7 linked regions of the Cricetulus griseus genome follow. The protein of the gene in region 6 binds, or shares a complex with, the protein of the main gene of each other region. Links are inferred from orthologs where the notes say so. Each region holds a gene or a part of one and is shown on either strand. Other genes may lie near its edges. The genes, in order: Polr1b, Rrn3, Polr1h, Polr1c, Taf1d, Taf1b and Polr2k.

The links.
Region 1: Taf1b (region 6) and Polr1b share a complex: the UniProt entries of both Homo sapiens proteins name them as parts of the pol I pre-initiation complex. The link is inferred for Cricetulus griseus from reciprocal best matches to the Homo sapiens genes TAF1B and POLR1B.
Region 2: Taf1b (region 6) and Rrn3 share a complex: the UniProt entries of both Homo sapiens proteins name them as parts of the pol I pre-initiation complex. The link is inferred for Cricetulus griseus from reciprocal best matches to the Homo sapiens genes TAF1B and RRN3.
Region 3: Taf1b (region 6) and Polr1h share a complex: the UniProt entries of both Homo sapiens proteins name them as parts of the pol I pre-initiation complex. The link is inferred for Cricetulus griseus from reciprocal best matches to the Homo sapiens genes TAF1B and POLR1H.
Region 4: Taf1b (region 6) and Polr1c share a complex: the UniProt entries of both Homo sapiens proteins name them as parts of the pol I pre-initiation complex. The link is inferred for Cricetulus griseus from reciprocal best matches to the Homo sapiens genes TAF1B and POLR1C.
Region 5: Taf1b (region 6) and Taf1d share a complex: the UniProt entries of both Homo sapiens proteins name them as parts of the transcription factor SL1/TIF-IB complex. The link is inferred for Cricetulus griseus from reciprocal best matches to the Homo sapiens genes TAF1B and TAF1D.
Region 7: Taf1b (region 6) and Polr2k share a complex: the UniProt entries of both Homo sapiens proteins name them as parts of the pol I pre-initiation complex. The link is inferred for Cricetulus griseus from reciprocal best matches to the Homo sapiens genes TAF1B and POLR2K.

What each region holds. Positions count from the first base shown.
Region 1 is NC_048599.1:49,464,757-49,468,256, forward strand, and holds part of Polr1b (DNA-directed RNA polymerase I subunit RPA2), read right to left. Parts: intron 3,053-3,500; coding exon 2,920-3,052; intron 1-2,919. UniProt on the Homo sapiens protein: Catalytic core component of RNA polymerase I (Pol I), a DNA-dependent RNA polymerase which synthesizes ribosomal RNA precursors using the four ribonucleoside triphosphates as substrates.
Region 2 is NW_023276807.1:74,971,884-74,975,383, forward strand, and holds part of Rrn3 (RNA polymerase I-specific transcription initiation factor RRN3), read left to right. Parts: coding exon 1-44; intron 45-1,133; coding exon 1,134-1,203; intron 1,204-1,948; coding exon 1,949-2,047; intron 2,048-3,500. UniProt on the Homo sapiens protein: Required for efficient transcription initiation by RNA polymerase I (Pol I). Required for the formation of the competent pre-initiation complex (PIC).
Region 3 is NW_023276806.1:228,752,233-228,756,252, reverse strand, and holds the start of Polr1h (DNA-directed RNA polymerase I subunit RPA12), read right to left. Parts: upstream 2,801-4,020; 5' UTR 2,758-2,800; intron 1-2,757. UniProt on the Homo sapiens protein: Core component of RNA polymerase I (Pol I), a DNA-dependent RNA polymerase which synthesizes ribosomal RNA precursors using the four ribonucleoside triphosphates as substrates. Can mediate Pol I proofreading of the nascent RNA transcript.
Region 4 is NW_023276806.1:255,712,608-255,716,711, reverse strand, and holds the start of Polr1c (DNA-directed RNA polymerases I and III subunit RPAC1), read left to right. Parts: upstream 1-1,304; 5' UTR 1,305-1,396; coding exon 1,397-1,465; intron 1,466-1,580; coding exon 1,581-1,652; intron 1,653-3,865; coding exon 3,866-3,973; intron 3,974-4,057; coding exon 4,058-4,104. Other genes in the region: protein YIPF3, read right to left, coding at 16-122, 263-460, 1,016-1,096. UniProt on the Homo sapiens protein: DNA-dependent RNA polymerase catalyzes the transcription of DNA into RNA using the four ribonucleoside triphosphates as substrates.
Region 5 is NC_048597.1:128,814,693-128,818,830, reverse strand, and holds the start of Taf1d (TATA box-binding protein-associated factor RNA polymerase I subunit D), read right to left. Parts: upstream 2,801-4,138; 5' UTR 2,511-2,800; intron 1,347-2,510; 5' UTR 1,337-1,346; coding exon 1,266-1,336; intron 865-1,265; coding exon 489-864; intron 1-488. UniProt on the Homo sapiens protein: Component of the transcription factor SL1/TIF-IB complex, which is involved in the assembly of the PIC (preinitiation complex) during RNA polymerase I-dependent transcription.
Region 6 is NC_048600.1:27,158,102-27,161,601, forward strand, and holds part of Taf1b (TATA box-binding protein-associated factor RNA polymerase I subunit B), read right to left. Parts: intron 2,252-3,500; coding exon 2,154-2,251; intron 1,754-2,153; coding exon 1,658-1,753; intron 1-1,657. UniProt on the Homo sapiens protein: Component of RNA polymerase I core factor complex that acts as a GTF2B/TFIIB-like factor and plays a key role in multiple steps during transcription initiation such as pre-initiation complex (PIC) assembly and postpolymerase recruitment events in polymerase I (Pol I) transcription.
Region 7 is NC_048603.1:15,288,356-15,292,395, reverse strand, and holds the start of Polr2k (DNA-directed RNA polymerases I, II, and III subunit RPABC4), read left to right. Parts: upstream 1-1,240; 5' UTR 1,241-1,337; intron 1,338-2,412; 5' UTR 2,413-2,421; coding exon 2,422-2,482; intron 2,483-3,032; coding exon 3,033-3,125; intron 3,126-4,040. UniProt on the Homo sapiens protein: DNA-dependent RNA polymerase catalyzes the transcription of DNA into RNA using the four ribonucleoside triphosphates as substrates.

The sequences.
Region 1 (3,500 bases), on a different chromosome or scaffold from region 6:
TTCTGGGGTACACTGTGAAATGGGTGAAGCTCTGAATTTGACCAAGTTTACCATCAGCTGGGTCCCATAACACCTTATACTTGGATCACCCTGCAGAGCGCACGTCCTATGCACACTAACCATATGGGACTGGTCAAGAGATGGTCACTCACCTAACACCCTGATGGAGAACAGCAGAACTCAAACTTCACATCAACAAAGCAAAAGAACCAATGACTACATGTTTTGACATGCTGAGATACTGTTCTCCTAGGTGCTGTATCCATGGCAACTACTAAAGTCTGATTTTTATCTCAATTATAAATGATACATTGTATAATATTACAGAAGTTAATAGAGAAGCCATATGCTATCTTACAATGCCAGGCACTGTCACAGGCATCGAACACAGGCCAGTCCCCTGAGGGTGTGCCAAGGCAGTCTAAACCAGGGGACCCAACATGTCTTTGGACACAAGTGCTAAGTCAAGTCAGCCTTCATCCTCAAAAGCAATACCAGAACTACATGAAGTCATCCAGACTAAAAACAGACAAAGGTTCTCACTATGAAATCACTTTCTGGGTATATTTCCTTTTCTTAGGTAATAAACACTATACATATTAAAGTGATTCGGTATACACAGACAATGGCACCAACTTTACCACCAGCCACTTGCAATTTTTCAGCTTCACCAGGGTGCATAAGCCATGTCCATTCACTAGAAATTACATTTCACTTTTTGAATTGAGACCTTTCCCTAGGCTAACAATGCTGTGTATTTTCTCATAATGTTGGGACAGCAGCAGTGAGCCATAGCTCCCAACCAGCCAGGAGAACAAAAAGGAAAACAAATTATAGTCGTCAACATCCTGGGGTGCCAATGTTTTTGAATACAGTGTTTTCATAGCTCATCAAGTGTACAAAAAGCCAATCTGTGTATGAGCACAAGATGATCAACACTTGCTCATAAAACAGGCTTTGTTTTAGGTGATTTTTCCAAAGTGCATGCTAATGTGTTAATAAGTATTCTAGCATAGTTAGGCTTGCCAAGCTAAGCTACTATGTTTGCAGGTTAGCGCACTGACTCCACTGTTACTTCTGTGGCATCAAGCATGAGCCCAGAAACTTCTGCAGGTTAGACAAGCTGTAAAGCAATCTTTGTACATTGTAAATATGTAATGCTCTCATTGTCAATAAAAAGCTGACTGGCCAATAGATAGGCAGGAAGAGATTGGGTGAATGAGCCTGAGACAGAGAGAATGCTGGGAGGAAGAAGGAAGTCATCAGCCAGATGCTGAATGAATCAGATACTCAAAATGGGATAGAGGTAAAAGCCACATAGCAAAATGTAGATTGATAGAATGGGTTAATTTAAGTTGTAAGAGCTGGTTAGTAATAAGCCTGAGCTATGAGTCCAACAGTTATAATTAATATAAGCCTCATATGTTTATTTGAGGGTGGCTGTGGGACAGAAAAACTCTACCTACAAAGCACTCTACCACCAAACCAGTCCCTGCCTCTACATAATTTGTTTTTTGAGATATGGTCTATTATGTAGCACTGACTGTTCTGTACTGGAATTCACAGTGTAGAACAGGCTGCCCTCAATCTCAGAGATCCACCTGCCTCAGTGAAACACCATACTTGGCTCTAAGTGCATCTTTTAAAAATTAAACAAAATTTTTTTATTTATCTTAAATTATGTGTGCTTATATGTGTGCATGTGTTCCCATGTGGGCAGATGACCACAGAGGTCAGAAGTGTCAAGCTCTGGAGCTGGAGTACAGGCAGTTGTGAGCTGCCCAACATGGATGCTGGGGATTGAACTCAGGTTCTTTGGAAGACAAATCTGTGCTTTTAAACTGCTGAGCCATCTCTCCAGCCCCTCTAAGTGCATTTTTAATGTACAGTACTCTCTATTTACTACAGGTTTATTAGGTATTGCATAACAATTACCATAACCAAATTGATTAAAACATCAATTACCACATATAGTTAGTTACCAAATGTGCATGTACGTGTATACGGGATCAACACACTTAAAAATCCACTCCATTTTCCAATTTTAAATAATTAACACAGTATTATTAACGATATCATTCATAGTGCTATACACTAGCATTAGATAGTATACATGTGTGTTCACACATGTGTGGTGGAAGTACTCTCCACCTTGAAAGCACAGGGAGAGAGAGAGAGAGAGAGAGAGAGAGAGAGAGAGAGAGAGAGTGTGTGTGTGTGTGTGTGTGTGTGTGTGTGTGTGTGAGTGTGTCCAGATGTCTTCCTTAATTGCTTCTTTTGAGACAGGGTCTCTCACTGAACCTGGAACTTTCTTCTTGGCTAAACTGGCTGGAACCGCTGTTCCCTCCCCTCCGGTGCTAAGATTACAGATGTGTACTTCCATACCCTTCTGTTCCTGTTTTTAGATGTAGGTGATGGGGACTCAATCCCTCATGCCTCTGTAGAAAGCACCTCCCCACTGAACCATGTCCCAGCCCCGTACTTGGCCCAAAACTTAAAGTCTATACTTTGATCAATACTTCCCCAACCAACACCACCCCGAATCTTACAGAATGCTTATGGCAAAACAAATAAAAATCATGTAAGAGAAACACATTAAAGACTGTATAGTGTACAGTCAGCCCAGGCAGTGGTGGCACACTCCTTTAATCCCAGTACTCGGGGAGGTAGATAGGTCTCTGTGAGTTTGAGGATAGCTGGTCTACAGAATGAGTTCCAGTTCCAGGACAGCAAAGGCTACACAAAGAAGCCCTGTCTTAACAACCCCCACCACACCAAAAAAACAAAACAAAAACAAACAAACAAACAAAAAAAAAAGAAGAGGAGGAGAAAGGAAAAAGATTGTATATAGTTGTATCTACTTTAAAAAATGGTTTTCAAGTTGTCCAAAACAACATCCTAATGTTCACTGAAACTTACCGAAATGAGTGTAGCCAAGCCCTCTGCTTTTCCACTTTGGTCTTATCATCGCAATGGGGAAATTTCTCCGAGGCATAATCAACATTCGGATGACTTTTTCAATGCCATTGATTATAAAATAACCTCCCATTTCCTGCCAAAGACAGGGTTATTATCTGTTAAACTAAAGTATATGACAAAGTAAACACAAAGCTATTTCTAGCCACATGAAGAGGTACACATTGGTGAAAGGGACGCCCCATCTCTAGAAACAGTACAGGTTCCAGAAAGTCTCGTCAGATACACAACCGGAGTCCAATAGACACAGAACAGGAAGGCAGGAAAACAGGGCCACTCCTTCTAACTAGACAGTCTCTAGACTTGTAACTAGACTAGTTAAACTAGTCTCTCTGTCCCAAATTATTCCAATTTCCAACCACCATTGAAACAAAACTTATTCCAAAATCTAAAGATAAAAATGGTAAGTTTAAAAAAAAAAAAAAGTTGACTGCATGGAAGCTTTGCTGACTAGAAATCTGGACTAGATAAACACAGGAAAATACGTTTAATAATAAAGAGTGTGCTGCTAACTGCTTGATACC
Region 2 (3,500 bases), on a different chromosome or scaffold from region 6:
ACATGTCATAGAGCCTTGCAAATAATAACAAGATATGTCCCATCGTGAGTATTTGTTGACTTTGAATTATGATGTTTATTAACAGGTTGGGGCTTAGTTCTAGTAGGTCACCTGCTTGTAATGTGTGCACACAGCTTTGGAAGGAAGAGTAGATGACAGAGTGTTATAGCATCAAAAACTGCATTGTATTGCTATTTCAGTTTTATTGATATCACATGTTGAAAATTGTTTCTGTTTTTTATTCATTATGTTTGTTATTTTAATTTGTATTATTTTATTAATTTATTTAAAGATTTAATTTGTGTGAGTGAAGGCACAGGTGTTGAAGTGTGCCATGGTTCTGGTTAGAGGACATCTATTAGTAGGTTTCATTCTACCACATACCTGTAGCTCAAACTCAGATGCCAGGCCTGGGGGCAAATGTCTTCCCTCTGAGTCACGTGGGGCCTGTTTAACTATTTAACGTAATTAATTTGCACATAGTGCTTCTACCTCAATTTTGTATAGAAGGTGGGGTTTTGCTTTTATCTTCAACAGATGTGATATTCAAATACTTTCACTGAGAACCTGTATGTATACTGCCATATGGATAAAATTCGGTTATCAAAAGGCAGCAGACTTGAGGGTTTCTTTGGCAGTATAGAATATCAGTGATACCTTTATTAACTAAAAATGGAGCTGGGGAAAAGTATTGTATATGTGGAACCGCAACAGTTGGGAAGGTAGAGGCAGGAGGATCAGGCATTCAGGGCTATCCTTGGCTACACACAGTTTGATACTAGTCTGGGCTACATGAGACCCTGCCTTCATCAAAAAATACCAAGTTAGTGATACTTTGCCTCTTTAAATAATATACTTATATATTGATACGTGCTCTTTTTTGTTTTTTTCTGGTACATGTTCTTAAACTAAAGTCTGTTAATCTTTGGTAGAAGAAAAGCCTTCTTTTGACGTGCTGCTACTAATAAAGCTAATAGAGTATTTTTATGTAAGTTGTTTTAGATTTTTTCTCTGAAACTCCTTGATTTGGGCCTTTAATTGCTTGAGGTAGGGTTCCTTTTTTTCCTCTTATATCCTTATTGTTCTTAGAAAGTCCAAGTAACATGGATTGAATTTTTTTTTTTTTCTAATAGGACACCATGGTTTCTAATGCCGATATTGGTAGACAAATTTCCATTTGTGAGAAAATCAGAGAGAACACTGGTAAGAAATTTTTCATGGAAAATTGTTTTGTGACTTTATTTTAGATGTTGTTGTTATTACTATTATTATCATCTTAAAAATACCTTTCTGGATTTTTAAACTCAAGACTCCATTGTGGTGTAGGCCTGTGATCCTGACACTTGGGAGGTTAAGCAAGAGGTCTTTGGCAACTTTGAGGCAAGCCTGAGCTACAGTGTGAGACCACATCTCAAATAAATAAATAAATAAATAAATAGAGAAGGTGAAGAACATCTCTCATATTCTTTTCTTTTTGTTATTATATTTCCTGAAACAGGATCCTAATGTGTGGCTCAGGCTAGCCTCAAGGCCTCCTAAGTGCTGGGATTATAGGTGTGAGCTGCTACTGCTCCTGGTGTCTTGATTCCTTTCCTGAAACATCTTCTGTGTTGAAAACTTACTAGGGAGGCTGCAGATGTAGGTCAGTGGCAGAGTGCTTGCTTAGCATGCATAAGGTCCTGGGTTTGATTCCCACCCCCCCCCCTGAATAAATTAAAGGGGAAACAAAAAGCTAGAGTTTGCAGAGGTATTAATGTATTACTAAGTAGAAATGTTTACTGGGAGTGATTAGATTAATTATACTCAACACATGTAGATTTGAACAGTGTAGTTTCTGAACTAAGAGTCCCTTTTCTATTCATGTATTTAAAGTAAACCTTGTGTAATTGATGTTTTGCTTATCCTGAAATACTGAGCTGAATTGTTCATCTTCTGTCTCATGCTTTAGGAATGTTATGTTCATAACTTACTAAGGATAAGTGTGTATTTTCCAACTTTGAGGCGTGAAATTCTGGAGCTTATTATTGAAAAGTTACTCAAGTTAGATGTAAGTATTGGATCACCTGTATTTTTTCTCTGTTTTCATTTATGGATTATAAATCCATAATCTCAGGGAGTGGCGCTACTAGGAGTTGCAGTTTTGTTGGAGTGGGTATGGCCTTGTTGGAGGAAGTGTGTCACTGTGGGGGTGGGCTTTCATATACTCAGGATACTACACAGTGAGTCAGTTGATTTCCTGTTGCTTACAAGATGTAGCAGTCTCAGCTCTAGCACCACTTCTGCCTACATGCTGCCATGCTCCCTGCCATGATGATAATTGACTGAACCTCTGATTAAATGTTTTCTTTATAAGAGTTGCCATGGTCATGGTGTCTCCTCATAGCAATAGAAAAAATACAAACTAGGACAAATAACAACAGTGGAAAACAGTCTAGTTATTTGCTTCATTCTAGTTATACTGCTTGAACTTCATCTATTTTCTGACAATTGTAAACAGTTTAAGTGTCACATCACACCTGTTAGGTACACTGGTGAAGGGCTTGCCTTACAATGTTTCAACTTCTTTCTATACAACATTCTGCTTCCATGTATATCTGCACAACAGAAGAGGGCACCAGATCTCATAAAGGATGGTTGTGAGCCACCATGTGGTTGCTGGGAATTGAACTCAGGACCTCTGGAAGAGCAGTCAGTGCTCTTAACCTCTGAGCCATTTCTCCAGCCCCTGTTTCAACTTCTTTATGTGGTGTTTTGCACCACCATTATGTTGCAGCACTTTGTGAGATGGTGATGGATCCCTTTAAAATATGTAAAGTAAGCTGGGTGTGGTAGTGCAAACCTTTCATCCCAGCACTCAGGCAGAGGCATCCCTGGGAGTTTGAGGTCAGCCTGGTGCACAGTGAGTTCCAGGACAGTCTGGGCAATGTAGAGAGACCTGTCTAAAAAAACCAAACAACATAGTATGTAGCAGGCTTTCTTTTGGGCCATCAAACAGCTTCCATCATGACACAGAGACTTACTAGTTATGAATTCTCGACCTTAGCTCTTATTTTTCTTTATTTTTTTCAACAATGTTTTCTTTATTTACAAGTTAGAATCAAGAGAAAGAAAAGATAGTCCAGGGGGTCAAATGGAGAGGTGACTAAAATCCCCAGGCCCCAAATGGAGTGGAAGAAAAAGGGAAGAATATAACATAAAAGTCCAGTAAAAAAAAGGAGCTCCCTCTTCTTCCCTCCCCACTCAGGCTGGAGGGAGGACTTAGCTCTAATTTTAATCTGTTTCTCTTCATCTACATTTTGTTTTGGGGCTTTTACTTGTCCATCTCCTCTCTCTCCGCTCCGTCTCCCTCTTCTTTCTTCTAATATATCTTACTTTCCTGCTGTCTGCCTGGCTTGTGGCCCTGGGTATATCGTGTCCCTCTCTTTTTCCCTCTCTCCTCCCCTCTTCCCTTTTGCCTAGATTTCTCCTCCTACTTATTCTCTCTGCCTGCCAGCCCTGCC
Region 3 (4,020 bases), on a different chromosome or scaffold from region 6:
TCGGGCGGGGGCTCAGGGGCCGGGCTCCAGGCCGGCTCACTTGGTGTTTGCCCTCGTGCCGGCCCACCTGGTGCTCGTTCTCGGGCCAGCCCATCTGGTGCTCGTTCTCGGGCCAGCCCACCTGGTGCTCGTTCTCGGGCTGGGCGTGCGGCTGGTGGCGGGGGAAGTGGAAGCCGCCGGGGGTGGGGATCGGGGAAGCCGCCGACAGGAGGAAGAGGAGACAAACTTGAGAAAGAAAGGGCTAAGGGGCAGGGGTCTTTCACCTTAAGCACACAAGAAACATACAGGTGGCTAGGTGAGGTCTCATTTCTGTAATTAATTTTCAGCCTGACTGTAACTGGTTTTAACTTAGTAAAATATTTGAAACTTAGCACAGCTGAATTTAAGACTGCATAGGGTTACATTATAGTCCTTAAACAGTAGCTACAAGTACACATTTTAGCTGCTTGCTCAAATGAGACAGGGTTTTTCTGTGGCTTTGGACCCTGTCCTGGAATTCAATATGCTGGACCAGGCAGGCCTTGAACTCAAAAAGATCCATCTGCCTCTGCCTCTGGAGTGCTGGGATTAAAGGCGTGTGCCACCAACACCCTAAACTTAACTTCTGAAAAGATAAACATCTTATAATAGATTAGCAGCTTTTATAAAACAAGAATTTTACATTGTCAGGCTTTGCTTAAAAATAATTTTAAATTGAAGCTCTTTAAGTACAAACATTAATAAAAATAAACATTTAAAAAACTGGTTTTAAAAAGAAATTTAAATTCCCTTAATATCTTTCTGTAATATATAGAAGCATTAACACTTTAAATCTTAACTGAAAAGCTTGTTTCTAAGATGGAACCTCTAATTTCCACGCGGTCATCTTTAGTCAGGATGGCGGTTTAAGTATCTTTTTTCAACTTCAGCAAAATGGCTGCCAGTCAGCCATGTGACCAGTTTGCCATGTGGCTGGTTACAAAATGGCCATAACTTGCACCCTTTGCTTAACATGCTTGTAACAGAACTTAGGTTATACCAGGAAAAAGAACATTTTAAAACAAGTATACATAAATTACTTGAGAAATAAACAGGACTTTTTAAAAACAGAATTAGCTTAATATGGTTAAAATTTTAACTTATATTACCATTTTTAAAATTTACTATTTGTTGACATGAGAAACCATAGCAAACAGTTTACATTTTTCTCTTTTAATAATCTCTTTTCTGACCTTCTATGACTTGCTTTAACTTTCTATAACTTTTTATAGTTCTTTCCTCTGATTTTCTTAGACATTCTTAGACAAATTTTTCTTTTTCCTTTTTCTCTTTATTATTTAAGTCTCCTACATTTTCTCTCATTTCTCAGTCAATGTAAAAATTTTTATCAAAGTCCCTTTTACAGTTTTTAATAACTTTTAATAACTTTAAGGCCTTTTTTTTTTTTTAGAAGTCCGGATCAGGCCAGATAAGTTCATACGCCCCAGCTCCATGTGCTCAAGGCAGAGACCTGGGGTGGGGGTGTTGGTGGTAACCCCAGACCCTTGGCCAATGCAGGGGTGGGATAATGGGATAAAGACCCCCTCGGTCCCCCTGCATACCATGTGTGTGGAGCACAGAGAAGGCCGAGCAGCCAGGCAGATGGCGGGCCTTGCAGCCATGTTCCCTCAGAGCAGGGAAACTCCCTTGGCAGGCAGGATGGCAGCTGGGGCAGAAACAGCCCCACTTGGCATGCCTCACAGACCCGCAGGTGGGGATAGAAAGGGGGTGGTGTGGTGGATCCTGAATTGAAAACCAATGATGATAACACAGAATAGACAGGAAAGAACAGACGCCAACCCAATCCGCCCGCGCCGCTTATAAGGCAATGGCGACGGAAGATGGGCTGCAGAACCCAGCGGCTACAATCATCACTAACTGAGGAGGATCCAAGTCCTTGGCCTCCGTTCGTACCTCCTGGGTGTCCTCAGAGCAGCAGTCTGTCCTCCGGGCGCATCTGCTGATCACAGTTGAGGTGGCATCATGTGCTCAGAGCATCAAGAAAAGACCCCTGACCCATGCATTCCATGTGCATGGGCAGTAGGGACAGAAAGAGATGTTTAACACAGACTAGGGTCCTATTCGGAATTTCAGATGGCTAGCCCCGTGGAGATCAACTTGGTTCGAAACCAAGTCTCCCCTATAGATTTCGGAAGGCTGCCGCCCGAACTTCCGCCTTAAACAATTCTTGTAGGCCTACTCACAGATGTCGCCAGAAACCCCAACATAGGACCTCCATATCCACAAAATTAACAGAAATAGTAAAATTGACACACAAGCAGACGGTTAGGGTGTGGGCTGCAACAGATCAGATAACAGATAACAAACCTGTTGCTCAACTGTTCAGTCACCCAGCCCATTCCAATCCTCTAGGCTTAACAGACACCAACAGCAAAACAGGACATCAGACAGGACAAACCCTGTGGCAAAGAAATGGTGCCCCAAACCAAAATTACAAACAACCCTTGGACTTCATCCAGGGCGGAACCAAGGATTCCAGAAATACGTCTATTTCTGTGCACGTCTGCTTACCCTATGGTTCAATTCAAATAGCCCTCGGACTTTTGTCCAGGACGGGACTTTGAAATATGTCTATTTCCCCCTGAAGTCCAAATTACAAATCACGAGTCCTGCGCAGGCTCAGATCAACAAAAGAGCAATTTCAAGTGGCACCAAACCAACAAAAACAAGCAAACATATAACATTGAACATATAAGTTGCGAGCTCGAATCATCTTACCTCCAAGATCGAATCCATTCAGGTGAAGGGTGGTCGCAAATCGCGGACGAGCCCCCAAATGTTAGACCCCCCGGAAAACTCAGGTATCCGGGGTCCCAGGCCACATTCTCGGTCACCCCAATCACCAGGCGGATTCGAGAGCTTGATGCAAACTGCATGAGGCTTTATTGTAATTTAACAAGCTAACCCCATGTTAGCTCGGGTCTTTTACCCACCCGCCGTGGCAGATGGCTCGCAAAAGACAGCTCCTAGGGTCTCCCAAGAGATCTTACAGGGCAGCGTAAGGGGAGTGTCTAGGGGTATGCACAGGCTCACTATTGGTGTGCCTCCAGCCTTGGAGGGCTTGCCCTGTGTTGATTGGCCAACTGGTTGTTATGGCCCATAGGCCCTCCCAGGGTGGTTGCTATGCTTTGTGCGTCATTGCTGAGTGCTTATCCATAAAGCACACCCTGGGTCATAAAGTATAGCGCCACCAGCTAACTTCTGATTGGTTCCTTGTCTCGAGGCAGGCATCTGACTTTCTAGTGACTAACTTCTGATTGGTTCCTTGTCACTAGGCAGGCATCTGACCTCTAAGTGACCAAGACAAGGTTATGGCAAGCATGTGTTCGGCTGTTATGGCTGCTGAAAGGGAAGCTGGTCCCTTCACTATCAGTCTCCACATGAGTTCATGCCCATGCAGAAACACCCACATGAATATCCAGAGCTGTCTAAAGGGTCACAGCATCAAGAAGGTTGAGAACCACTGCTCTAGTAAGTGAAGAGAGTGAAAATGCTAGACTTAGGAGTCAGAATGGAATGGTGAGAACCAATTCCTGGAGAAATGATCTGAGAGCAAGGACATCATTTTCCAGCTATGGGAAGGAAAGGACCAAGCAGGATGCAGGATTATGAAGTCCTAGAGGAAACCCCTAGCCTAGGACCTCAGATCAGGAGGCATGAGAGAAAACATTTTCTTTAAGCTTGGTAGGTTGGTAAATGCCTGTAATCCCAGAGCTTAGACAGGATCATTTGGAGCCAGAAGACAGTGGGCTTCGTAGTAAAGCCCCGTAACAACTCAGGCTGAAAAGTGGAACATCACCATACTCCAGAAAGCTTCATGTACTCCCACTCATAGCCACCTCCCGGCATCCAAGAATGTATTTCTAAGTGGTACTATTTGCAGTTACATTGTGGGGATGAACTTTTATTCATTGATGTTTTTAAATTCATCCTTGAAGATATATAGAACTTAAAATGAATGTGCTAAAAACAAATTACCTG
Region 4 (4,104 bases), on a different chromosome or scaffold from region 6:
GAGAAGACTCCTCACCTGCTTCGGACCTGAGCAGGCTCCACATCAAAGTAGGGTCTCAGGATGTCGATGTTGGCATACAAGCTGAAGGCTCTGGAAGCTTGTCTCTTCCCTGCCTGCCACATCTGAAGGGAGATGGGTATTATGAAACTGGTGGCTCTAGACTGTTAACGTTACACAGCCTTTGCCAGATTTCTGTGTGGTTCTCCCTGGAAAACCTACGTCACCTTGGGACACACATGGGTCCACTTTCCCATCTGCTTACCTGATCAGCCACCTGTCGGCTCAGCTGTCCCTTAAAGCCTTTCATGCCCAGAAACTCGCCATCCTCCTCTTCTGCAGCAGCTGCGTCGGCATCCACTTCTTCCTCACGCAGGCGCTGATGCAGCTCCCCCATGTCCTCGAAGCTGGAGCCTGACGTGTCATCCATGTTCTCCATGTCAATCACGGCCGAGCCCCCGCCCTGTGAAGACAAAGGCTGCTAGAGAGCGGGGCCTTCTGTTGCACCCTTCTGCTCTCTGCTCATCGCACGGTTTGAGGCTTTGCTCTCCCACTGATGAGGACATTGGAATTGCTACCCATCGTGCCAAACTCCTCCTTGTCACTGCTGGCACAACTCTTGTCGCCACACTTTTGTGGTTCAGAAAACACACTACTCATCTTCAATTCACGTTGTTTTCCTACCTTCCCCCTCAAAGCTTCGAAGTGCTGCACCGGGGCCGACCTGCCGCCACCCACCTTCAAGCAAGCCTATGTGCACACAGGCCACCTTTAGGGGCTCCAGGGAATCAATCCTACCCTCTAGCCCTGCACCTGCCTGACCCAGACAGGCCGCCCAGCCACGGAGACCCGAGGCCCGCTGCAGCCTCGGCCTGGCCCTTCCTCCTCAGCACAAGCGCTACAGACCTGGGCGTGGGAGACTCAGCGGCCACCACTTGCAATGGAGCCGACTTCCAGGCCGCGAGAGGGGACGGCGGCCAGCCCGGGGGCTGCCGGCAGCCGGGACACCGCTCCATACCTGGATGTTTTCTTCGAAGCCTCCCCACTCCGGGCCAGCTCCGTTTCGGACGCCGCTGGCCGGCGCCGCGGGAGTCGCCATGTCCCTCGAGGCTTTCCGTCGCTGAAGCTCGCGGGCGTGGGACCAGCGTGAGACCCGGGCCGGAGAGAAGGAGGAAACGTCCAGGAAAGAGAGAGGGCGAGGTAGTATCAGCCGGAATGCAAACAGGAGAAACCCGGATGTTTGGCCCCAATTGACGTCCGGAAGTGAAGGACGTGGACGGGGCGGGGCAGGATATCGCGACATTTATAAGTTCAGGAGGCGGGGCGTTGCCAGGGAGACGGCAACGGGCCCCTAGTACGCCTGCGCGCACCGGAGGCGTCTCGAGGCGGGTGGTGGACGATGGCGGCGGCCCAGGCCGTGGAGGAGATGCGGACGCGCGTGGTTCTGGGAGAGTTCGGGGTTCGCAACGTGAGCTCGGAGCGGAACTCGGGAGGGTCGGGGGCGGGATGGGGGAGGAGGAGGGGAGGGGACCTGGCTTGCGGCTTGTCCTCACCGCCCCGCTGAACACATCTGTTGGCTCTAGGTCCACACCACCGACTTCCCCGGTAACTACTCGGGTTACGACGACGCCTGGGACCAGGACCGCTTCGAGAAGGTGGGTGCGCGGGAGGTGTCCCGGCGGCCCGGGGACCAGACGGCTCACGCTCGCCGCGTTCCAAAAACGTGTGCTGAGCCATCCATGTGCTGGGTGCTGGGTGGCCAGGCCGCCCGGGTGGGGTGAAGGCCCACGTGATCAAGGGATCCCGGTGAAACACAAGAGCGGCGAGCACGGCCGGGGTGCGGGAGAGGAATCCCGTAGGTGACTTAATCCGGTCCGTCGGAGAGACGGAGACTCGGGTCAGTGAAGGAAGACTGGCCAACAGTTAGGCCGTGCAGGCCTAATTGGAGCATTGTTGCAAACGCTTGTTTGCGCAGAGCCTGCTCCAGCAGTTCATTATCGCCAGATGTCAATACATTGGCCCGAGTGGTAGACAAGACCGGGGTCTATCTTTTTCTCTTTGAAAATTTATTTGTATTTTATGTACATTGGTGTTTTGTCCGAATCTATGTGAGGGTGTCGGATCCTGTTGTCAGTTACAGTGTTGAGTGCTGGAAATTTAAACTCGCGTCCCTGATTGGGGTGTTATCTTAAGCTCTGCAAGTTAATAGAGAGCTCTGTTGTTTTTTTTTTTTCGAGACAGGGTTTCTCTGGGTATCCCTGGCTGTCATGAAACTAGCCTTTCTGCCTCCTGAGCGCTGAGATTAATAGCATGAGCTACCTCGCCTGGCTTAAAGAGAATTTTTCAGTAGACTGATCTAATTTTGTAACCTTCATAGCTGGGAGGGAATGAATAAATTCCACTGGTAGTGGAAATGGAGCAAAAGGAGAACTAACAGCTATGTACCATATAGCTTTGGTGAGGGGTGTGTGTGTGTGTGTGTGAAAAAGGGCCTTGTGATGTGGGGAATTTAAGGAGTTTTTTTTTTGGGGGGGGGGTTATGTGTTTACCTGCATGTATATTTGTGCATTTGTGTGACTGGTGACCCAGGGAGGTCTAGTTAGGTCCCCAGAACTGGAGTTATGCATGGTTATGAACCACAGTGTGGGTGCTGGGAACCAAACCCAGTTCTTTTTCTTTTTTCTTTTTTTTTCTTCTGTTTTTCGAGACAGGGTTTCTCTGTGGCTTTGGAGGCTGTCCTGGAAGTAGCTCTTGTAGACCAGGCTGGTCTCGAACTCACAGAGATCCTCCTGCCTCTGCCTCCCGAGTGCTGGGATTAAAGGCGTGCGCCACCCAACGCCCGGCCAAACCCAGTTCTTCTGTAAGAGCAGTCAAATGCTCTTAACTGCTGAGCCATCTCGTCAGCTCCATTAGGGAAGTGTCTTGATGGCTGATTGTGTCAGTTGATAAACAGGAGAAAAAGAGTGATAATATGTTCAAATTCCTGTATGTGAAGTCTGTAGGTCAAGTGAATGATGCCTGAAGTGAGATCAAAATGAACCCAAGTTTGGGGAGTTGCTGAGTAGTTGCTTAAGCCAGGAGTGTGATTGAGGTCAGCCAAGAGATTTGAACCTGGGAGAAAGTAACATTTACAGGGTGAGAGGAAGAATTTAGAATATCAGATAAGAGAACTAAATTGGTGTTCAAAAGTCAAGGGAGTAGAATTTGAAAAAAGAGGGATTGAAAAATAAAAACAAATGCAGGACTAACTTGTCTAAGCAGTGTGGGACGTTCTGCTCTTCAGTGTAGCAGCTTCTGTGGGTTGTTTTTGTGGAGCCATATTGCCTAGGGTCTTTTTTGGGGAGAGGGCGGGGGTTGAGACAGGATGTAGCTTTGGAGCCTATCCTGGCACTCCATCTGTAGACAAGGCTGGCCTGGAACTCACAGAGATCTGCCTGTGTCCCCCTCCCCCCCACGCGCGCGCGCCCAGTGCTGGGATTAAAGGTGTGCACCACCAATGCCCGGCTTTGCTTAGGGTCTTAGTGATGTACACCTTTGATCCTAGTCCATAGAAGATAGGTAAGTATTCCTGTGAGTTCGAGGCCATTGTGGTTTACATAGATAGTTCCAGAAATGCTAGGGCAAGGTAGGGAGACCCCCCCTTATTTTTTAATTTAAAAAAGAAAGAAAACCAGCCAGGCTTCTTACAAAACTCAAGAACAGGGCTGAAGACAAAAGTCTAGTGATCATCTGGTCACAGGAAGGCTTTAGGATGAGAGAGGGTGGACATACATGGAGGGACATTGCCAGGGTGGGAGTAATCACAGAGGGAGGCTTGAATTACACAAGAGAAACAGGTGTTCCATCAGTTTTTTCTCTATCCCTCTAGAATTTCCGTGTGGATGTTGTTCATATGGATGAAAATACACTGGAGTTCGACATGGTGGGAATTGATGCTGCCATTGCTAATGCTTTCCGGAGAATTCTGTTAGCTGAGGTAAAAGAAGACGTGTGGGTCTCTTATTTCCAGGTAGGGAGATCAGTTGGTGTTGCAGTTGGATGATTCTGCTTTTTTGAACAGGTGCCAACAATGGCAGTGGAAAAGGTTCTGGTTTATAATAACACATC
Region 5 (4,138 bases), on a different chromosome or scaffold from region 6:
GAGGCCACCCTGGTCTCCAAAGGAGTGCCAGGATAGGCTCCAAAGCTACACAGAAAACCCTGTATCGAAACACCCCCCCAAAAAAGTAAATGACATAAAAAATAAAAAGAACGAAATAACATCTGCTTACTTTGAAATGACTGGTTTGATGGGCTACTTAATTTAAAGTTGGGTAAGATATGCTTGAGAGTAGTTTAGAGACTAAGATGAGGGTATTTTGTACATTTACAGACTTGGACCATTATTCTCTAAGTTTGTATACACACTAAAAACAGTGCACTCAGAAACACTGGAACCTGAGCAGACTTTACACAGAACACATTGTTTATTGTCAAAGTAACAAAATGTGTCCCAGGTGGACCTCAAATTAAAAATGGCCAACAACACCCAAACCCAGAGAAACTATGTCTGGAAAAACCAGGAAGAAAAGATGGGGGCAACAATCATTCCAATTTCCTAGTGTATTCACTTACATGAGAATGACTCACCTCATATGTTAAAATTTTCTTCCAAGGTAAGGGTTTTCTTCCATTTTCAGATTCTAAGAATGGAAACACAGCTCCTTTGTTTTTAATTTGCTTCACACCTATCTGTGACCTTCTAGGGTTTCTAGCATTTTTTATTCCAGGTGGTCTTCCTCTTGGTCTTAATTTTGGCTTGTATTTCCTTTTTTTCCGTTTCTTTTTCTTAAATCTTTCAAAAATAGCCTTTAAAGTCAAAAGCCTTGGTTCTATAGAGGAGTCACTTGATGTGTCAGTGTCAACATTTGCAGGTAAAGTGACACGTTTTGTCGTAGGGTTTCTTTGCTTTCGTGTAGGTGAAAGAACGTACTGTGTTTTAAATAAGCTATCAGATGAGTCATCGCTAAAAAAATAAAATAAAATAAACTGCATCACTGAGTCGTTACTAGAAACAATCCAATTCACGAGTGGCAAGGCTGTACCCTCAGGCAGCATGGTCATTAGTAACTCAAGTTTCATGGAGTTCAACACCCTCTTCTGAACACATGATACTGACTGTAGGCAAAGCACTCACTCATAAGTCACATAAGAGAAGACATTAAAAATTTAAGTGTACATTTCTTCCAAAGCCAGCTCCCCCAAAATCATACCCAACATTTTCAAATGGGTGTGGTGATAAGCCTTTAATTCCAGCTCTTGGGAGAAATAGGCAGGATCATCTTTGAATGAGGCCACCTACTGAGACCTGTCAATCTGAACAGTTAGACTCAACTCTAGGGTGTTTAGTCACAAAAGCTGCCTTACCTTTGATGTCCAATGTCTGCAGCTCTATCAGGTGTCATGCAGTCAACAGAAGTCACTTCTGATTGAGCCATTACTCGATCTCTGCAATTACAATTTCAGTGTGATGCACCTAGCATTCTAATGAAAAGTTCAACATACACCATACCACCATGTGACTTTAGGTAAAATCGACCTAAGGATAGTCCACTTTAGATCTTTAAAAACATCCAAGTGAGCCAGCTGTTGGTGGTGCACGCCTTTAATCCCAGCCATTTGGGAGGCAGAGGCAGGCAGACCTGTGAGTTCCAGGTTAGTTTCAGGACAGGCTCTAATTCAATATAGAAAAACCTTGTCTTAAAAAAAAAAATATCCACGTGAGGAGCACAGCAGTTAAAGTGTAACCTTCCACAGTTCAGTTCCCAGCACTCACATTGGGTAGCTCACAACTTCAACATGGCATGTTTCTGGCTTCCTGGATACCCACACATTCAATTCTAATCTACAAGTGAAAGCAAAGGAGAGACCACTTTCCAAATCAGTGTTTTCTAATTCTACTTAACAAAAGTACCTGAGTGGCTTTACTACCAGCCAGCCACACAGTGAAACAGCATTAATTCGGATGTTTACCCTAGGAAGGCTGAATTTTTAGCCACTCAGTGTGTATGCCTCAATTTCCCGAATGGCCAATGGGCCTGTAATCCCAACAATAGAACCTCTAGGGTGAGTCAGCTGAAGAGATGGCTTAGCTTTAAGAATACTGACTGCTCTTGAGTGGACAGATTAAATTCCCAGCACCCACAAGGCAGCTTTAAAGGGGCCGCAACTGGCCAGGTGGTGGTGCGCGCCTTTAACCCCAGGAGGTAGAGGCAGGCGGGGCCTCGAACTCAAGATCCGCCTTCCTCCTGAGTGCTGTAATTAAAGAAATGCACCACCACCTCCCGGGTTATTAACTTTTTTCCTTTAAAAGGGGACTTATTTTACGGATAGTGCATTGGTTTCACCCATACCAGAAATAGGAACCAGAGCCCATTACAAATGGTTGTGAACTACCACGTGGCTGCTAGGAATTGAACCCACGTCCCCTGATAGAGCAGCTGGTGCTCTTAGCTGTAGAGCCATTTCTCCATTCCCCATTGTTTTTTAGTATTAGCCCATCAAAATTGCAACGTAACATACTTGGCCCGTTTGCACCAACGATAGAGCGGAGAAAATTCTAAGGGTAATGGCCAAGTACACACGAGGAACCTATCTAGAAATCAGTCCTACCTGTGCGGTCTTCTCGACCTAGGAAGGCAGCACCAGCACAATGCCCCGACGGGACACTCTAAAACCTTCCGGCAGCGACCGATAGCGACCGGGAGCCACGCGTGGCCCGCTGCGCCTCACCCGACAACAGCGCCGACTGCGCGCGGACAGCCGCCCAAAGAGCCCGGGCCCGCGCGCGGTCTCCGAGTCCCGCACCGACCGATCGCGCCAGACCCGAGCGCCCAACGCAAACACACCCGTCTCCCTCCTCCACCGCGACCAAAAGAACGTTCCAGCTCGCAGCAGCCGACTAGGGCAGGCCGAGATCTCGCGTGAGCTCTTAGCGGCGGGTGGGTACGAGAGCGCGGCTACGTGCTAGGCGTGGCTATGTGCGTGGACTGTGGAGTGGGCGGGGCCTCCGCGAGAGGCGGTACCGGGCTCGCCCCTAGGCTTTGAGCTGGCGGAAGGGAGCAGGACGTTGAACTTGGGTAGGTGAAGGGAAGAAGGCATTCCTGCAGGCGTGAAGACACTGCGGGTCAGGTGAGCGTCCGCATGTTGTGGGGCCGAGCCCACTGTGTGCGGAGTTCCCCCTCAGAGGAAGGGTGCCAGGTGCTTTGGGCACCCCACCCTTCAGGAGTTAGCTTCCAGCAGGCATGGGCTTCCTCCTTCAGATCCTGAGTTGACTCAACAGTGTAGGGCTAAACAGTTTTTAGCCCTACAGTACTTTCTTTTCAGTAGTGAGCTGCTTTGAGTTATTTTCCATGCTGCACCTTTGTATTGTATGACAAGCAAGCCAGCAGATCTGCTTGCCCTTAGTCAACAGTTGTTATCATTTATGATTGGACACGCCTTAAAAGTAAGGTCTTGCTGTACTTGCAAGCAGCCAGTGCATTCGCTGTAAGCTCTAAGACAGGCATCTCAGACTGTCACATTCAGGACCAGTGCAAACTTAAATTGCAGGGTCCTGTTCAAAACGAAAGTGACAAATAGCTGAGAACTGTGGCAAATCGCAGAACTGGAGAGTCTGAAGGAGGATTGCCAGGCCAGCCTAGACTATGTTTTCCCCATAAGTAAGGAAAATTTAGAATTATTAATACAAGTTTTACCATCTTTATGTTGTGTACTGCCAGGCGGTGGTGACTCATGCCCTTAATCCCAGCACTGGGTGTAAGGATCAGGCATTATGCTGGCCTGCCTCTTCCTAATAAAACTTCATTTAAGCTGTCTGCCTGGAATGTTTGTCCCTTGGCCTCGGTCAACCTCGCCCGCCATGAAACCTGCCAAGGTTCACCTCACTCTTTATCCTAACACTCTGGAGGCAGAGGCAGGCGAATCTCTGTGAGTTGGAGGCCAGCACAAGCTACACAGAGAAACCCTGTCTCAAAAAACCAAAAATAAAAAAATAAAAAAACCTTAATGAGCTTCTAGGCCTTTAATCCCAGCACTTGGGAGGCAGAGGCAGGCAGATATCAATGAGTCAAGGCCAATCTGGTCTACAGAGTGAGTTCCAGGAAACTGTCTTGAAAAAAGAAAAGAACTTAATGAGCAGAATTGTTGTGGGGCGTTCACCAGAGAAGAGTGTTCAGACATAGGTTAAAAGCCAATAGAAAAACTTTATTAGCCAGCCAGCAACCAACTGAGTGTTCGGG
Region 6 (3,500 bases):
TGAGGCTCAGAGGCGCCTCCTTTGCTCACCTCTGTAACTTATTCCTTTCATCTTGACCAGGGATTCTCACTCCTGGATCACTGACCTTTGTATACAGACCTATGTGGACCTGACCAAACAAGGAAGTGCTCGGCTACGCTCCCAAGTTTCTACCAAACGTGAGTCACGTGGACTTAGACTCTCATCTTAGCCCTGTGGTTGGTACACTCACCATTCTCTGCAGACTGTGCTCTATTCCAAGCAAAAGGTACCACAGCACACTTCTGAAGCAATTCAGAACAAGCTGCTCACAGACAGAGCAGCTCTAATAGGCCGCCTGACTGACTTTCCTTCACTTCAAAGTGTCTGAGATGAGATTATAAGGGGACTAGGTATGGAAATGCCGGGTGAAGTAGGCAGGAATGTCATGTTAAGGGAATGACACAGTCAGGATAGGGAACGTGGCTCAGTTAGTAGACTGTTTGCCAGACATATACAAAGCCCTTGGTTTGGTTCTCTATGCGTAATTGTCTCTCAATCTAGCACTTCATGGGTGGAGGCAAGTCAAGGGTGTCCTTGACTACACAGCAAGCAAGCCTGGCCTGGGATACATGAGACCCTATCTCAAAATAAAATAAAGTAAGCTGGGTAGTGGCACACTCCTTTAATCACAGCACTTGGTTGGCAGAGGCAGGGGATTTCTGTGAGTTTAAGGCCAGCCAGAGATAAATAATAAGGTCCCATCTCAAAAAACAGTAATAATAATAATAATAATAGGAATAACATGTGTAAAAAATTCAAGCAACAAACAAGACAAACAACCCCCACAAACTAAATAGCCACATGACAGGAGTCCCTCGAGAGCCTCCACTCTTCTAGTCTAGGGGTAGAGCTCAGAGTCACGGAGCTTTCCTAACTTGTAAATTTGACCCCAACACGGCAAACAAGGAAGAAATTCCTTAAAGTTCTCCAAGTGAGCTGGGTGTGATGGCTGTAATCCTAGCACTTGAAAAGCTGAAGCAGGAGGATTACCAGAATCCAAGGCTAGCCTGGGCTATGGAGTGGAATCCTGACTCAAAAAAAAACCAAAAACAACAACAAAAACTTTAAAAAGGAAGATGAAGCCAGGCGGTGGTAGTGTACACCTTTAATCCCACACTCAGAAGGCAGAGGCAGAAGAATATCTGTAAGTTTGAGGCCAACCTAGTCTACAAAGTGAGTTGTAGGAGTCCTCCAAAGAGAAACCCTGACTCAAAAAGAAGATAAAATAAAATAAGGGCTGGAGAGATGGCTCAGCAGTTAAGAGCATTTGCTGCTCTTCCAGAGGTTCTAAGCTCAATTCCCAGCAACCACATGGTGGCTCACAACCATCTCTAATGAGATCTGATACCCTCTAATGGCATGCAGGTATACATGCATACAGAACATTACATACATAGCAAATAAATCTTTAAAAAAAAAAAGGAAGATGAGTTATAATTGCTTTTATGTTACAACTAGTTTACTAAGAAAGCCACAGTTCATTATAAGGTCTGGATTGTTCTGGATTGCACCAGAGCCCCTTCCCTGACAATCCATAAACAAGCACCACTGTCAGACTCAAGCAGCCACAAACAGCACCTTCATCTCTGTCACACAAGGCAGATTTTGCTCCTGTTCATCAGGCTCCATGGCTCACCTTGGCTTTCCGTCCTCTTGTACGAACTGGGTTTTTACAATAGGCCTGCTTGCTCTTCTGAAGGTAGCGCTTCCAAAGATTGTGCAAAACTTCATTCTGCGGTGGGAGGGAAACAAGTGGTGAATCTCTATGATGGCATGACACAGGCACAGCTATACCACATGTGCTCATCCTTCACAGATCACCTGCTTCTCTTTACCGGGCACATGGGAAACACTGAATCAACAAATGCTTCGCTTTGCTTTTCAGTGCTGGAGATTAAAGACAGACCTCAAGATACTCCTATAATCTTGGAGTTAGGAGATGGAATAGGCATTAAAGATAACCATGGAGCCTGTCCTTTTACAATCAGGATCACAGAACGAAAACAAGTTACACAGGCCGACACTTCTACTCAGGGGCAGAGCCCGGCTCTTCCTGCTGACTCTTCCTCAGGTCCACTCAAACCTCCCCCTTCCAACAATGAGGAGCTAACTTCTAGACATTCATGACTTACCTTTAGCTCTGCACCTACTCCCAGGGTCTTCAGGGCTTCTGCCTGGTGGTATAGTATGCACTGAAAACCTTCACACACATACCAATCCCAGCCTTTTTCTAAAGAACAAATAACAAGCTTTAGATACACATATTTCTAATTTACTAATTTATAATGCAATTTCTGTTTACACATGCCAAAAGACTATTTTTATATCTCAAATAGTCTTTCTCTTTCTTCCTTTTCCTTCTTCCTTTCCTTCCCTCCTTCCTTTCTTTCTCTATTTCTTTCTTTGTGTGTGTGTGTGTGTGTACGTACACTTTGTTTTATTCTAAATTATCTATCTGTCTGTCTGTCTGTCTGTCTGTCTGTCTATCTATCTATCTATCTATCTTGCCTGTGTGTATGTCTGTGAGGGTGTCAAACCCCCTGGAACTGGAGTTACAGGCAGTTGTGAGCTGCCATATAGGTGCTGGGAACCGAACCCATGTCCTTTGGAAGAGCAGTTAAAGCTCTGAACTGTTGAGCCATCTCTCCAGTCTGTTTTTGTTTTGTTTTGTATTGTTTTGAAATATGGTCCTACTGTGTGAGTCTGCCCAGCCTGGAACTTGCTATGCAGACCAGGCGGGCTTCAAACTTGTATCCGTCTCCCCGCCTCTGTCTCTTCCTCCTAAGTGCCGGGAGCATAGGCATCCACTACCATGTCCAGCTGTGAAAAGTTTCTATCTTTATATTCTTTTTTCCAATATGATATATTTGCATCAATTTCCAAATTGATATATTTGTATTTAACAAAACTAGCATTTTCTTAACATATTGTATTTTCAATTATCTATCACACTTTAACTACTTATATATATGAGTTACAATTAATCAAGTTTTACTCTGATAAAATTGAATAAAAATCAATCAGGTTTTAGCCTATAAAAAGCCATTACCAGGCTGGTTCAGCAATGAAGAACCCTGACTGCTCTCAAAGAAGATCTGGGTTTGGTTTCCAGCACCTAAATAGTGGGTCACAACCATCTGTAACTCCAATACTGGGGGGTCCAACACGGACTCTGGCCTTTAAGGGTACCTGCACACACAAGATACACAGATATACATGCAGACAAACACCTACATCATATACATGAAATAAAATAATCTTTTTTTTTTTTTTTTTTTTTTTTTTTGGTTTTTTGAGACAGGGTTTCTCTGTGTAGCTTTGGAGCCTATCCTGGCACTCACTCTGGAGACCAGGCTGGTCTTGAACTCACAGAGATCCGCCTGCCTCTGCCTCCCAAGTGCTAGGATTAAAGGCTTGCGCCACTAACACCCAGCTGAAATAATCTTTTTCTTTTTTTTTTTTTTTTGCTTTTTCAAGAC
Region 7 (4,040 bases), on a different chromosome or scaffold from region 6:
CTGTGAGTTCGAGGCCAGCCTGGTCTCCAGAGTGAGTGCCAGGACAGACTCCAAAGCTACAGAGAAATCCTGTCTCGAAAAAACCAAAAACACAAAACAAAGAAACAACGAAATCTTAAAATCTCAGACGTCTAATGTAAGCCCCCTGGAAGCTCAGGCCTCCAGAATCCTTTCCCAGGACTGCGGCCATCCCAATCATCATGAGGAGTCGGAAACTTGATGCAAACAGCAAGAGGCTTTAATGAAAGGTAGACGTTTGTACGAAGGGGCTCTCTCAGCATGCAGGCTAGAGAGCAGCCCCGTCCCCCAGGCACAGGCCTTTTTAAAGGCAAAAACCACAAGCTTAGGGAGGGGTGTGACCAGAGTCACAGGTGCCTAAGAGACCCTTTGTCTTGAGGAGAGGGCTGGGAATCAGATGGCCTCCTGACCCACCAGCTGTAAAACCTGCAGACCTCAGGATATGCTTAGCTTGCTTGAGCAAATGGTACCTATCTCTTTGTTTCACAGGGACACTTAATTGTTAATGATTGACACATTGGCCGGTGGGGCAATCTGTTTTTTTCATGAGCCCCTCGGGGAGGGTGGCCATCTGGGAATTCTTGGTACCCAGTTATATTATGGCCTTGTAAGGGAGTAATTGCTTGCGGCTGGTAAATTCCAGGCCCTAAGTCCTAATAGTGGCCTTAGTTTCCGAGTTAGGCCGCCCTACATTCAGTTTGGAGAGTTTCCTTATCTGGGCTATATTTCTTTGCTAATTTTTAAGTCTTTCACTAGCAAGTGAGAAGCCACACCACCCTTTCTCTACAGCCGGGGCTTAGCCCGGCAGACACACCTGACCGCCCTAGGATTGGGGAGACTTTGTAGCGTGGCTGAGGGCGAGCGTTTAACAGGCTGCTGGGCTGTGTGCGGAGGAAGCAGCTCAAGCGACCGTTTTCCTGAAGATTCACCCCTGCGAGCCACCGAGCTAAGCCAACGGTCCTGAAAAAAAGTATTTTTAATTGACATCTCCGGGGCCTGGGGGAGAGCCGCGCGCTGAAGGGCAGCCAAACAAAAGAGAACCCTGTGCAAACGGCGACGAGCAAATGGCGACGAGCAAATGGCGACGAGCCCGAGTCTCGAACCCGCGACCGCCGCCGGAGCGAGAGCTGCTTTCGGCTTCCGCCGTCGCCTGTGCCCAGCCCGGGCTCTCGGCGGCGGAGGGGACGGGGCGGGGGCGGGGCTCCTGCGCGTCATTAGGCAGCGCCGGAAGCGCGCGGTCCGCGCCGGTAGTGAGTCCGTCACTGAGGACGCGGGGGAACGTTTGTGTGCGTACCGAGACTCTGCTTGGAGCCGCGGAGGTGAGAGATCGGTCTGAGGGCAAAAAAACTGGCTTTAGAAGGTTTTAGAAAGTTCCCGGGTGCCCGGGAGAGCTGGCTCCACGCCGCCTGGGCGCTCGGGAAACGGAGGCAGGGGACTGCCGCCTTCAGCAGACGGACGCCCGGGCTTTGGGGTTGGCTTGGGCGATGAAGTGAGTTCCGGGCCAGCCTGGGCTACCAAGTGGGGAGCCTCTCAAAGAGCCAAATAAACGTAAATAAATGGTCGGTGACTGGGCTGGAGGGGCGGCTCAGAGGTTAAGAGCGCCGATTGCTCCTCCAGAGGTCCCGGGTTCAATTCCCAGCACCCACATGGCAGCTCACAGCTGTCTGCAACTCCAGTTCCAGGGGACCTGACACCCTCACACCAACGCACATAAAATAAAATAAATTTAAAAAATGATTTATGACAAGATCCCCGGCGGAGTTAGCGGATTTTTGTGGGTTTTTTTTTTTTTTAGTTTATTTGTTGTTTGGTTTTTCGAGACAGGGTTTCTAAGTTTATTTTTATTTTTTGTGCATTGGGTATTTTGCATGGATGTCAGCTGGGTGCCCTGGAACTGGGGTTGCACACAGTTGTGAGCTGCTATGTGTGTGCTGGGAATTGAACTCAGGAGGAGCAACCGGTGCTCTTAACCTCTGAGCCATCTCTCCAGCCCCCCCCCCCTTTGCTTCTTAGTGTCGGGAGACGCTGGGCACACAGAGAGCTGTGCTTAGCCTCGGTTTCCCCGAGTGTAAAGAGTGATGCCCTCTGGCACCTTCAAGAGTGTCGTAGACCTTCGAGATGGATTCTGTGTTGTTGAGAATGTGTTTCCTCCTTCAGACCCAGCCCACAGTTGGTGGGGAAGGGGGGGTTTCAAATAAGGAATTATGATTTTTTTCCCCCTCATTCTGTAATACTGGGGTTTGATCCTCGAGCCGCTGTGTTCTGGGCAAACATTCTACACCTGAGATTTTCTCTTCACCCCGGAATCAGGACCTTGCGTAGCTGCTGGGGAAAAGGGAGCCTGGTTGGTTTTGTGTGATGATCTTGTTATTCAAGCTTTGGCTCTGATTTCAGGCACTAGCAATGGACGCGCAGAAAGACGTCCAACCCCCAAAGCAGCAGCCGATGATATATATTTGCGGAGGTAAGATTAACATTTAAGTAGGAACGTTTTTTGTTGTTGTTTTGGTTTTTTGGTTTGTTTGGCTTTTTTTTTTTTTTGCTTTTGTTTTGTTTTTTTGAAACAGGGTTTTTCTGTGGCTTTGGAGCCTATCCTGGAACTCACTCTGTACACCAGGCTGGTCTCCAACTCACAGAGATCCCCCTGCCTCTGCCTCCCTAGTGCTGGGATTAAAGGTATGTGCCACCAATGCCCTGCTTAAGTAGGAACATTTTACCTCAACTTTCCATATATGAGTACTGATCTTCAAAGTTATAAAGCGGAGCACTCAGGAGGCAGAGGCAGGGGGATCTCTGCGAGTTCAAGTGAAACACTTTAGCATCATTAATGTAAAAGTCCCTCGTTAAGATTTGTCTTTTCATCAGGAAAAGGTACGCTGCCGACAGCTCTTTTCTTTCCTCCTTGGTGTATTTAGTTTCGGGGCTTTGACTTGCTCTGGCGAAGTCTGTGGTTATATTTGGTTCCCTGTAGTGTTTCTCTTTCAGGCATTGACTGAACGTGTTTTATTCCCTAGAGTGTCACACGGAAAATGAAATAAAGTCCAGGGATCCAATCAGATGCAGAGAATGTGGATACAGAATAATGTACAAGAAAAGGACAAAAAGATGTATCCTTCTGACTGGGCTTTCTAAACGTAAAGAGGAATAACTAATACTCGGTTGATAAAGACCAAGTTCTGACAAAAGTAGCAACTTTTGGGTTGTTTATTTTTCTAAGCAGATTGAATGTGACTTTATTAATGAAGAGTTTATTAACTGAGAATGTGGGGGGCTCTGAAGGACGTAAATGTATATTATTTTAATATGAATTATTTTTCACCAAACTTGGAGAAAAGAGGCAGGCAGAGCTTTGTGAGTTCAAGGCCAGCTAGAACTACTAAGTGAGACTCAGTGTCAAAAAAAACAAATAGGGGCTAGAGAGACTCGTCAGCAGGCAGGTAAGGGCATCGGCTGTTCTTCCAGAGGACCTGTGTTCTGTTTCTAGCACCAACATAATTACTCATGATCCTCTGTAACTCCAGTTTCGGGGGTCTGATCCCTTTTTCCGACCTCCACCTGTACAAAGGACCCAAGTGTGTGTGTGTGTGTGTGTGTGTGTTTAAAAAACCCTGTAAGTGATTTTAGCTTTTATTTTACTTTTTTTTTTTTAGTTCAAATTAGAAACAAGCCTACTTCGATTGTCAATCCCTGCTCCCTCCTCTCTCTAGCCCTTCACCAACTCACCACATCATCCCCCCCTCTGCTCCCCAGGGAGGGTAAGGCCCTCCATGAGGTATCCCCAAAGTCTGTCATATCGTTTGGGATAGGGCCTAGACCCTCCCCCATGTGTCCAGGCTGAGAGAGCATCCCTCCACGTGGGATGGGCTCCCAAAGTCCTTTTGTACACCAGCTCTTTTTTTTTTAAGTAAACATGATTAGTGTTTTCGTGCCATTCATTATGGGCTCTAAGTAATTAAAAAATTAATCAATTTGGGTTTATGTAAATGTTTTTAGTTTTTTCAGGAATTCTTTGTTAGAAGTAG